Macaca fascicularis: one gene and its partner. The protein of the gene in region 2 interacts with the protein of the main gene of each other region in a biochemical or structural test. Links are inferred from orthologs where the notes say so. Each region holds a gene or a part of one and is shown on either strand. Other genes may lie near its edges. The genes, in order: COPS4 and COPS7A.

What was found.
Region 1: the proteins of COPS7A (region 2) and COPS4 form a complex in vitro, tested with the Homo sapiens proteins (2 studies listed by BioGRID). The link is inferred for Macaca fascicularis from reciprocal best matches to the Homo sapiens genes COPS7A and COPS4.

Annotation. Positions count from the first base shown.
Region 1 is NC_088379.1:50,803,468-50,807,884, reverse strand, and holds the start of COPS4 (COP9 signalosome complex subunit 4), read left to right. Parts: upstream 1-1,496; 5' UTR 1,497-1,549; coding exon 1,550-1,623; intron 1,624-4,417. UniProt on the Homo sapiens protein: Component of the COP9 signalosome complex (CSN), a complex involved in various cellular and developmental processes.
Region 2 is NC_088385.1:7,643,802-7,648,140, forward strand, and holds the start of COPS7A (COP9 signalosome complex subunit 7a), read left to right. Parts: upstream 1-1,411; 5' UTR 1,412-1,518; exon of another isoform or gene 1,519-1,616; intron 1,617-1,981; 5' UTR 1,982-2,024; coding exon 2,025-2,186; intron 2,187-4,339.

The DNA of each region.
Region 1 (4,417 bases), on a different chromosome or scaffold from region 2:
ACATGAGTTGTTTGTTTTCTTTTTCATTTAATTTTAATTTTTATTTTTTGAGATGGAGTCTTGCCTTTTTTTTTTTGAGACGGAGTTTCGCCCTTGTTGCCCAGGCTGGAGTGCAATGGTGCAGTCTTGGCTCAACGCGACCTTCGCCTCCCAGGTTCAAGTGATTCTCCTGCCTCAGTCTCCTGAGTAACTGGAATTACAGGTATGTGCCACTACGCCTGGCTAATTTTTGTATTTTTAGTTGAGACGGGGTTTCTCCATGTTGTTCAGGCTGGTCTCGAACTCCCAACCTCAGATGATCCGTCCGCCTCGGCCTCCCAAAGTGCTGGGATTACAGACGTGAGCCACGGCACCCAGCCCTCAACTTGCGTTTTGGAGAAGACAATTATTTCAAACCACAGTACCAGGAAAAGTGCAAAAAACAAAACAAAACAAAACAAAACAAAACAACAACAACAACAAAAAACAAAGCAGAACAATTATGTGGTGTTACTTTTTGTGAAAGGAGAGGTAAAATTTTATATTTATTAATATTTGCTTGTATTTGCAGAAATTCCATAAGAATACATGAGTATTGAATATCATATAAACGCAGGCGACCATATAATCTTCCATTGAAATGCAACCGTTTCTAGAATGAAAGGGGGGATGTTATTTTAATTAATTAATTAATTTATTTATTTAGAGACGGAGTCTTGCTCTATCGCCCAGGCAGGAGCGCAGTGGCGCAATCTCGGGTCACTGCAAGTTCCGCCTCCCGGGTTTTACGCCATTCTACAGCCTCAGCCTCCCGAGTAGCTGGGGCTACAGGCGTGCACCACCTACGCCCAGCTAATTTTTTTGTATTTTTAGTAGACGGGGTTTCACCGTGTTTAGCCAGGATGGTCTCGATCTCCTGACCTCGTGATCCGCCCGCCTCGGCCTCCCAAAGTGCTGGGATTACAGGCGTGAGCCACCGCGCCCGGCCGCAAGGGGGGATGTTATTAATCACTACTCCAGGACGACAGAGGGAAAATGGCTTTGTACTGGACAAACTGGAATATCTGATCAACCTTTATAAAGTGCATGGAGTGGGAGGAGGAATGGGGACTTTTTAATTGTATTTCTAAAAAGTATCGTCTGTGGTGAATCAGAAACAAAACTCGTTCTTTACCACAGGCAGTTTAAGCGCTGCCTGAAAGACCTAAGGACGGTAAACCACAGACATGAGACATGGAACTTTGCGAAAACGCAGTCGTTTTATGTACCGGGTACTTATTGGAGTTACACTAGAGACTCACTCCTGGAGTTCATCAGCCAATCCAAAGTCCGAGCGTGAGAGCCAGAGCCTGTAGGAGAGGGCTGGGCAGGCCTCAGACCTGAGGAGTGGAGCCCCGCATCACTCAACCCTGAGGGCGGAGCTAGCCCAGGCTCCCACACCCGACGCTCTGGCCCACACAGACGCTACTCTGTAGCATCTCAGGTTCCCTCTGGCTGCACTCTGGAGGACCACACTCGTTTTCTTTTTGGCTGCCAGAGGCCCCGCATCCACCGCTGAGCTGGGAGAAAGATGGCGGCAGCCGTGCGACAGGATTTGGCCCAGCTCATGAATTCGAGCGGCTCTCATAAAGATCTGGCTGGCAAGTGAGTATTTCCCAGCAACGCGGGAGTACAGAGGTGGGGAAAGAAAGCCACAGCCTTAATCTCCTTAGGTTGGCCACGACTCTTGGGCGTGAAGCTAGGAACCGGCCTGACGACCAAGGGGGCGGGCCTGAGGTCGGCTAGGGAGGCAAATGTTGGGAGAAGCAGAGAGCTGGAGGGGACCTTGTGCAGGGGCCTTCGAGGCCATAGACTTGGGATGACTGTCAACTTGTTCAGTTATTGATAGAATCCCTCTGGTCCCTTAGGATTTTGGAAGAGCGGTCTGACAGACGACTGCTACCCTGGCCTTAGTAGCCTTCCCTGGTACCTCTTCCTATCGCTGGCCGGCCTCACACCGAATCTGGCCTCTCGTTGGACCTTCCTCCTCCTTTTTTTGATTCAGAGAAATGTATATTCTGGGGCCTTGATGGTGTGTTTTTCGGGGAGATGGCTTCTTGGGGCTGGCTGAGACTGAGGAGGTATGGCCGCTGTCATGTCGTCCAGACCACTCAGACTGTCTTCTGTGGGTCCTTGTGTTTCGGGTATTTTCTCCGCCACCAACTCTGAAGGCACATAGGCGGAATGTGCTCATATCGCGGATCAGGATGTCTAGAGTAGTGATGTTTGCAGCAATCTGAATTTTGTCGAAATTCATATAGAATGCTTAGGTTCACTCCAAGTTAAAATGTGTGACGTGCCTGTTGTGCAAGCAGTTGTTCAACAGTATTAAGCATAGGTAGGTAGACGTATATTGTTCATTTTCTCTTTGTAGATGTCACAGCACTGATCTTTTGTAATGAACTTAAAGTATGCCTCTCTAGGCCGGGTGCAGAGAGGCTGAGGTGGGAGGATCACTTGAGGCCAGGAGTTCTAGACTAGCCTGGGCAACATAGTGAGACCCCCGTCTCCATAAATAAATAAGTAAATAAAGTATGCCTCTCAAGTTGATCTTAATGTTTACATCCTGACAGCTGAAATCACTTTATGTATGTTAATGGGATACACCAGCTCTAACCTGGTCATCGAAATTCTGACTGTTTTAAGTAGGCTAGGCTGCCTTTTCTCTGGTGGTAAATGTAATCTACTTTTATCAGTGGGAAATTCAGCCGTATATTTTGGGCGTAACTACTTTGTGCTGCATTTTCCCATTTAGGAAAATGAAGATGGTAATAGGACATATTCTTGTCTGAGATTATCTGAAGACAAGATGAGTATCTGTGTGCATATATACTTACCACACTTATATCACCTAGAACAGTACCTGACATATAGAAAGTGCCGCAAGATTGTTGTTACTATCACTAAGCTGTCAGTAATATATATTCACTTATTGTATGGGTTGGAAACAAATATGTCTTCATGGCTTAATCCTTTTTGCTTGTAATTTTGTAGATATGGATGAAAGTAAAAGCAGCTTATATTTTTCCCCCATGCTTCCTTTACTTTTTATTTTGTAAAAGAAAAATAAGTGCATTAGTTATCAGAAGAAATAGAGCTTTTCATGTATTTGGAGAGTTCTGAAACTTAAGTATTTACTTTTTCAGGTCTGAATTGGAGATAAACAATAGTATTTATAGGGTACTTCAGTTATCTGTTGCTTTGTAACCAAAAACTTACCAGTGTAAAACAACTGTGATTTCTCAGGATTCTATGGATTGACTGGACAGCTCTTCTGGTCTTGTCTGGGCTCACTCATGCAGATATAGTCAGCTGGCAACTCACCTGGGGCTGGACTCACATGCATATCTTGCTCTTGGCAGGATCTGTCTCTCTCTGCACATAGTCTCTCATTCATTAGTTTAGCTTGGGCTTTCTTAGGTGGCTATGAGAGGGGAAGTCACAAGACCTCTTAAGGATAGCCTAGAAAGTCTCATATCAATTCTCTAGTACTGGTAAAAGTAAATCAGAAGACCAGCCCAGATTCAAGGGGAGGGGAAATGGAGCCTACTACTGCCTCTTTAGTGACAAAGTTACATTGCAAAGGAGCCTGGACAGAGGGAGACATGATTCATTGGAAGCCATTACTGTAGCAATCTACCACATGGTGTTGTGAAGATTAAATGAAATAATGTGCTTGATAACTGATAGCCAGTGCTGTGTTAGCCAGCAACTCCTTCAGAGCTGCTTTCTGAGAAAAGTCTTGGGCTTGCTTGCAGTTCCTATCTGAGCAAGAAAGTATCAGGATATTTATCCTTATAACAACATCAGTTCTACCAGCTACATGCTTTAAGAGAAATACCCTTGAAATATCAGTTTTTTTTTTTAATGTATTTTTTCTTGTATGTACTTTTAATGAAGGTTTTTGGGGATTTTTTAGGAGCTGAGAAACAAAGGATTCCATATTAAAGAATAATGGAGTACATTGTTTCTAAAATATCAATACTGTGTGTTCCCAGCAATTGGGATATCTATAACAACAGTTGCTCAATACATGTGGTTGAATTAATGAATAGCTAGAAAGGGGCAGAGCTTGTATTTGAACCCAGGTTCATCACTCTAAAAAGCTCATTTTAAACCTACCAGACTATGCTCGTTTTCTTGTTAAAAACTCAATTAGAAATGCTTTCCCATAACTGTGGATTAACACAGCTGTCTAAAGTTTATGTAAGAAATTAGTCAGATGAAAAGCATTTTCCTCCATTTTGTAGGCTGTTTTTGTGCATATTATGTGTTGTGTTTATTATCTCACATAAAGATTTAGAATAGGAGAGCCACAATGGAGGATAGACTATATTGAGGAGAGACCTCAAAGGCCCCTTCTAACTCAGATTCTGATTCTCTATTTGTTGTCCCAAAC
Region 2 (4,339 bases):
GAGCCCAAGAGGCAGAGGTTCAGTGGGCCAAGACTGTGCCATTGTACTCCAGCCTGGGTGGCAAGAGCGAAATCCTGGCTCAAAAAAAAAATAAAAAAGAAAAGATAAGCTTGGGCGGGGAGGGGTGGATGCAAAAAAAAAAATAAGTTTGGACTCATTAATTCCTTGGTTCCTTCAAAGTTTTAATATTTTATTATGCCTTTGATTCCTTCTCACTTTTGTTTCACCTTTTCCATTCATTTCTTCTTCTCCTCTTCCTCCTTTCCCTTTCCTTTCTGTGTTTCTGCTTATTTTCTATTACAAACCAAAATATGTGGACCATAAACTGCATCTGCAGTTCCTTTAGCCCTAACAGACTACGAGTTCTATTTCTCTTTATCTTTCTCTTTTTCACTTTCTTGTCTTTCCATTACTTATAAGTTTCTTAATTTTCCTGAGTCTCAGTTTTTCCATCTGGAAAGTGGAGATAACAATTACTAGATTGTTGTATCAGATGAATTAAGTAATGCTCGTAGCTTAACACAAAGGCCAAGATGTCATTAACTTTACCCTCACTTGACCTTCTGCAAGCCTGCTGTGAAATATAAAACACTATATAAATGTTAGTTGTTTTTGTTTTTATTAAAGTATGTTGAAGTAGAAAGATGGTTTTGAGTTTGAAAAGCTCCAGATAAATCCTTGGATTTTTATGAGTCTCAATTTCCTTTTCTGTAAAATGAGTAACATAGGGGTTTTTCCGCCCCAAGAAACTAAGAGTCCATGTACTGAAAGCATCATTCTACAAGTATTAATACATATATAGTAATCATGGTAGAGGGTGTCCTGAAGTCACACTGGGAATATTTGTGAGGATTCAACGGAATAAAATTTTAAAAGATGTCTGACCAATAGTAAGCACTCAATACATGTTAGCAATTATTATCTTTTACTCTTCTCACTTCTTTTCTCCTGCTCTTCAAAAAAGTGAGTGGTTGAACGACCTAGGTGATCTCTGCTGCTAAACTTCTATTATTGATTATTGTTTACTTCCTCTCTGCCCCTTACTCCCCCATCCCGTTTTTTTCCCGCTTCTTCACTCATTCCATTACAGCTTTTCTCTTGCCTCAGGCACCCAGGGCAGTCCTGATCTCCAGCTCTCCAGCGGCTTAGAACAAACACAGAGTCGGCCGAGACCAGGGGACCCGCCAAAGACGTCTGTGTTTAGTGGCTAGCGATCTTCCACTAATAAAGTTTTATTGAAATACAGTATTTAAAAAGGCGCCCGTCATTCTTCCCCCGGCGACCAATCGGAGAGTAGAATGCTTGCGTCCCTCACTGGAGCTTCAGCGGTTGGAACGCGGGGGCGGGGCATGTCCTGCCGAAATTTGCGTCCTTAGAGCGGAAGTACGGCCGGAAGCCCGCCATAGAGTTTAGTGGCCAGAGCGACTCTTCAGGGAGGTGGCAGGAAAGGCTTGGAACAGCTGCCGGAGGTGACGGAGCGGCGGCCCCGCCCGGTGCGCTGGAGGGCGAAGCTTCCAGGTAGCGGCCCGCAGAGCCTGACCCAGGGTACGACGAAGCAGTCGGCGGGAGCCCACGGTCGCTGGGCGGTGTCTTTAAGGGAGGGGGCGGAGCCACGTGTAAGCTTCATTGGGGTGAGGTCACGTGGTTGTGGGCGCGTGCGGGGCAGGAGTGGAGAACTGAGGGAGCGTCGTCGTTAGTGTGGATACCATGCGACACCCCTTTCTCCGTTGCATCCTGTCTTGGGGTTCAGTGGCGGTGCACATGATGGGGCTTGGGGTTAGGCTCGGGGGAGGGGGTGGGTGTGGCAGCCTTGTGAAGTGGCTGACTTTAGGATTTGTAGATCAGAATTCTAGACCGCTCCATGTGTGATTCCTCACCGCAGAACCGACTTAGTACCTATAACAATCCAGTCCTTCAGCCTTGTGCTTCCCATCCTACCAGCCATCGGGGATCTCTAGCTTCACATTCTCTTTCCTTGCAGCTCTGGACATCCTGAGCCCAGGTGCCCCCAGCTCAGTGCAGTCATGAGTGCGGAAGTGAAGGTGACAGGGCAGAACCAGGAGCAATTTCTGCTCCTAGCCAAGTCGGCCAAGGGGGCAGCGCTGGCCACACTCATCCATCAGGTGCTGGAGGCCCCTGGTGTCTACGTGTTTGGAGAACTGCTGGACATGCCCAATGTTAGAGAGGTGGGTTGCTGGCTTGAATAGTCCACAGAGAAGCATGGGCAAAGGTTTGAATTTGAGAATGGGTGGGCAGGGCTCAATTTGTGATCCCATACCATTCAGTTGAACAAGAAAACAGTGATGATTAAATGCCAACTTGCAAAAGTAACCAGTAAACAAGCAAACCAGCTTTCCTTTGGAGATAAAGGATCTGTAAAGTCCACTGTTTTTCATTTTAAGCAAAAGAGCATGTTATTCAGAATAGGAAATCTGATTTCCAGCCCGTCTCCACCAGCGTAATAGCTGTTAATTCTCATGTCACCTTGATCAGGTCACTTTTGTTTTAGGGCCTGAGCTCTCTTTTTTAAAAATGGAGACAATACTGCCCCCTCTGTTGTGGGAATAAAGTGAGATTATGGGAAAGTGTAAAGTCTGGTACAAGTGGGTAGTGAACATGTTAAATTAGCATGCCCTATTCTTCCCTATGTGCAGCATATGCTAATCTGTTCAAGGTAGCTAAGGGAGAATGTGTCTTTTTCCCAAAGACACATGGCAAACACTAGGAACACAGCAGAGAGAACCATTCACACAAAAGTGGCAGAGTTAATTTACAGAGGAGGCAGCCTGAGTCCTGACATGCTGACAGTGATATGTGGGTAAACTGAGCTAAGTTATGTGGGGCCTGTGGTTTAACCTTTTGGATCACTCTGTGATATGGTGAAAACTGGCTGACTTTTCCCTGCTTTCATCTGCAGTGGAACTAAAGAGTATCCATCAAGGTGATGAAAAAGAAGCACTTGGCCTGGTGCAGTGGCTCACGCCTGTAATCCCAGCACTTTGGAAGGCCAAGGCAGGTGGATCACCTGAGGTCAGGAGGTGAAACCAATATGGCAGAACCCTGTCTCTATTAAAAATACAAACAGGGCTGGGCGCAGTGGCTCACGCCTGTAATCCCAGCACTTTGGGAGGCTGAGGCAGGCGGATCACAAGGTCAGGAGATCGAGACCATCCTGACGGTCTAACACGGTGAAACCCCATCTCTACTAAAAATACAAAAAATTAGCTGAGGCCGGGCGCAGTGGCTCAAGCCTGTAATCCCAGCACTTTGGGAGGCCGAGAGGGGCGGGTCACGAGGTCAGGAGATCGAGACCATCCTGGCTAACACGGTGAAACCCCGTCTCTACTAAAAAATACAAAAAACTAGCCGGGCGAGGTGGCCGGCGCCTGTAGTCCCAGCTACTCGGGAGGCTGAGGCAGGAGAATGGCGTAAACCCGGGAGGCGGAGCTTGCAGTGAGCTGAGATCCGGCCACTGCACTCCAGCCTGGGCGACAGAGCGAGACTCCGTCTCAAAAAAAAAAAAAAAAAAGGCCGGGCGCGGTGGCTCAAACCTGTAATCCCAGCACTTTGGGAGGCCAAGACGGGCGGATCACGAGTTCAGGAGATCGAGACCATCCTAGCTAACACGGTGACACCCCGTCTCTACTAAAAATACAAAAAACTAGCCGGGCGAGGTGGCGGGCGCCTGTAGTCCCAGCTACTCGGGAGGCTGAGGCAGGAGAATGGCGTAAAAAAACCCGGGAGGCGGAGCTTGCAGTGAGCTGAGATCCGGGCACTGCACTCCAGCCTGGGCCACAGAGCTAGACTACGTCTCAAAAAAAAAAAAAAAAAAAAATTAGCTGAGCATGGTGGCGGGCGCCTGTAGTTGTAGCTACTCGGGAGGCTAAGGCAGGAGGATGGCATGAACCCGGGAGGCGGAGGTTGCAGTGAGTTGAGATGGCGCCACTGCACTCCAGAGCAAGACTCTGTCCCAAAAAAAAAACCCACAAAAAACAGGGCCGGGCTTGGTGGCTCATGCCTGTTCCCAGCACTTTGGGAGGCTGAGGTGGGTGGATCATGAGGTCAGGAGTTCAAGACCAGTCTGGCCAAGGTAGTGAAACCCTGTCTCTACTAAAAATACAAAAATTAGCTGGGCGTGGTGGCAGGCGCCTGTAATCCCAGCTACTTGGGAGGCCGAGGCAGGAGAATCACTTGAACCCGGGAGGCAGAGGTTGCAGTGAGCCGAGATTGCGCCACTGCACTCCAGCCTGGGCGACAGAGTGAGACTCTGTCTCAAAAAAAACAAACAAACAAAAAAAAAAAAGCTCATGTATCCCAGAAGTTAAAGTATAATTTAAAA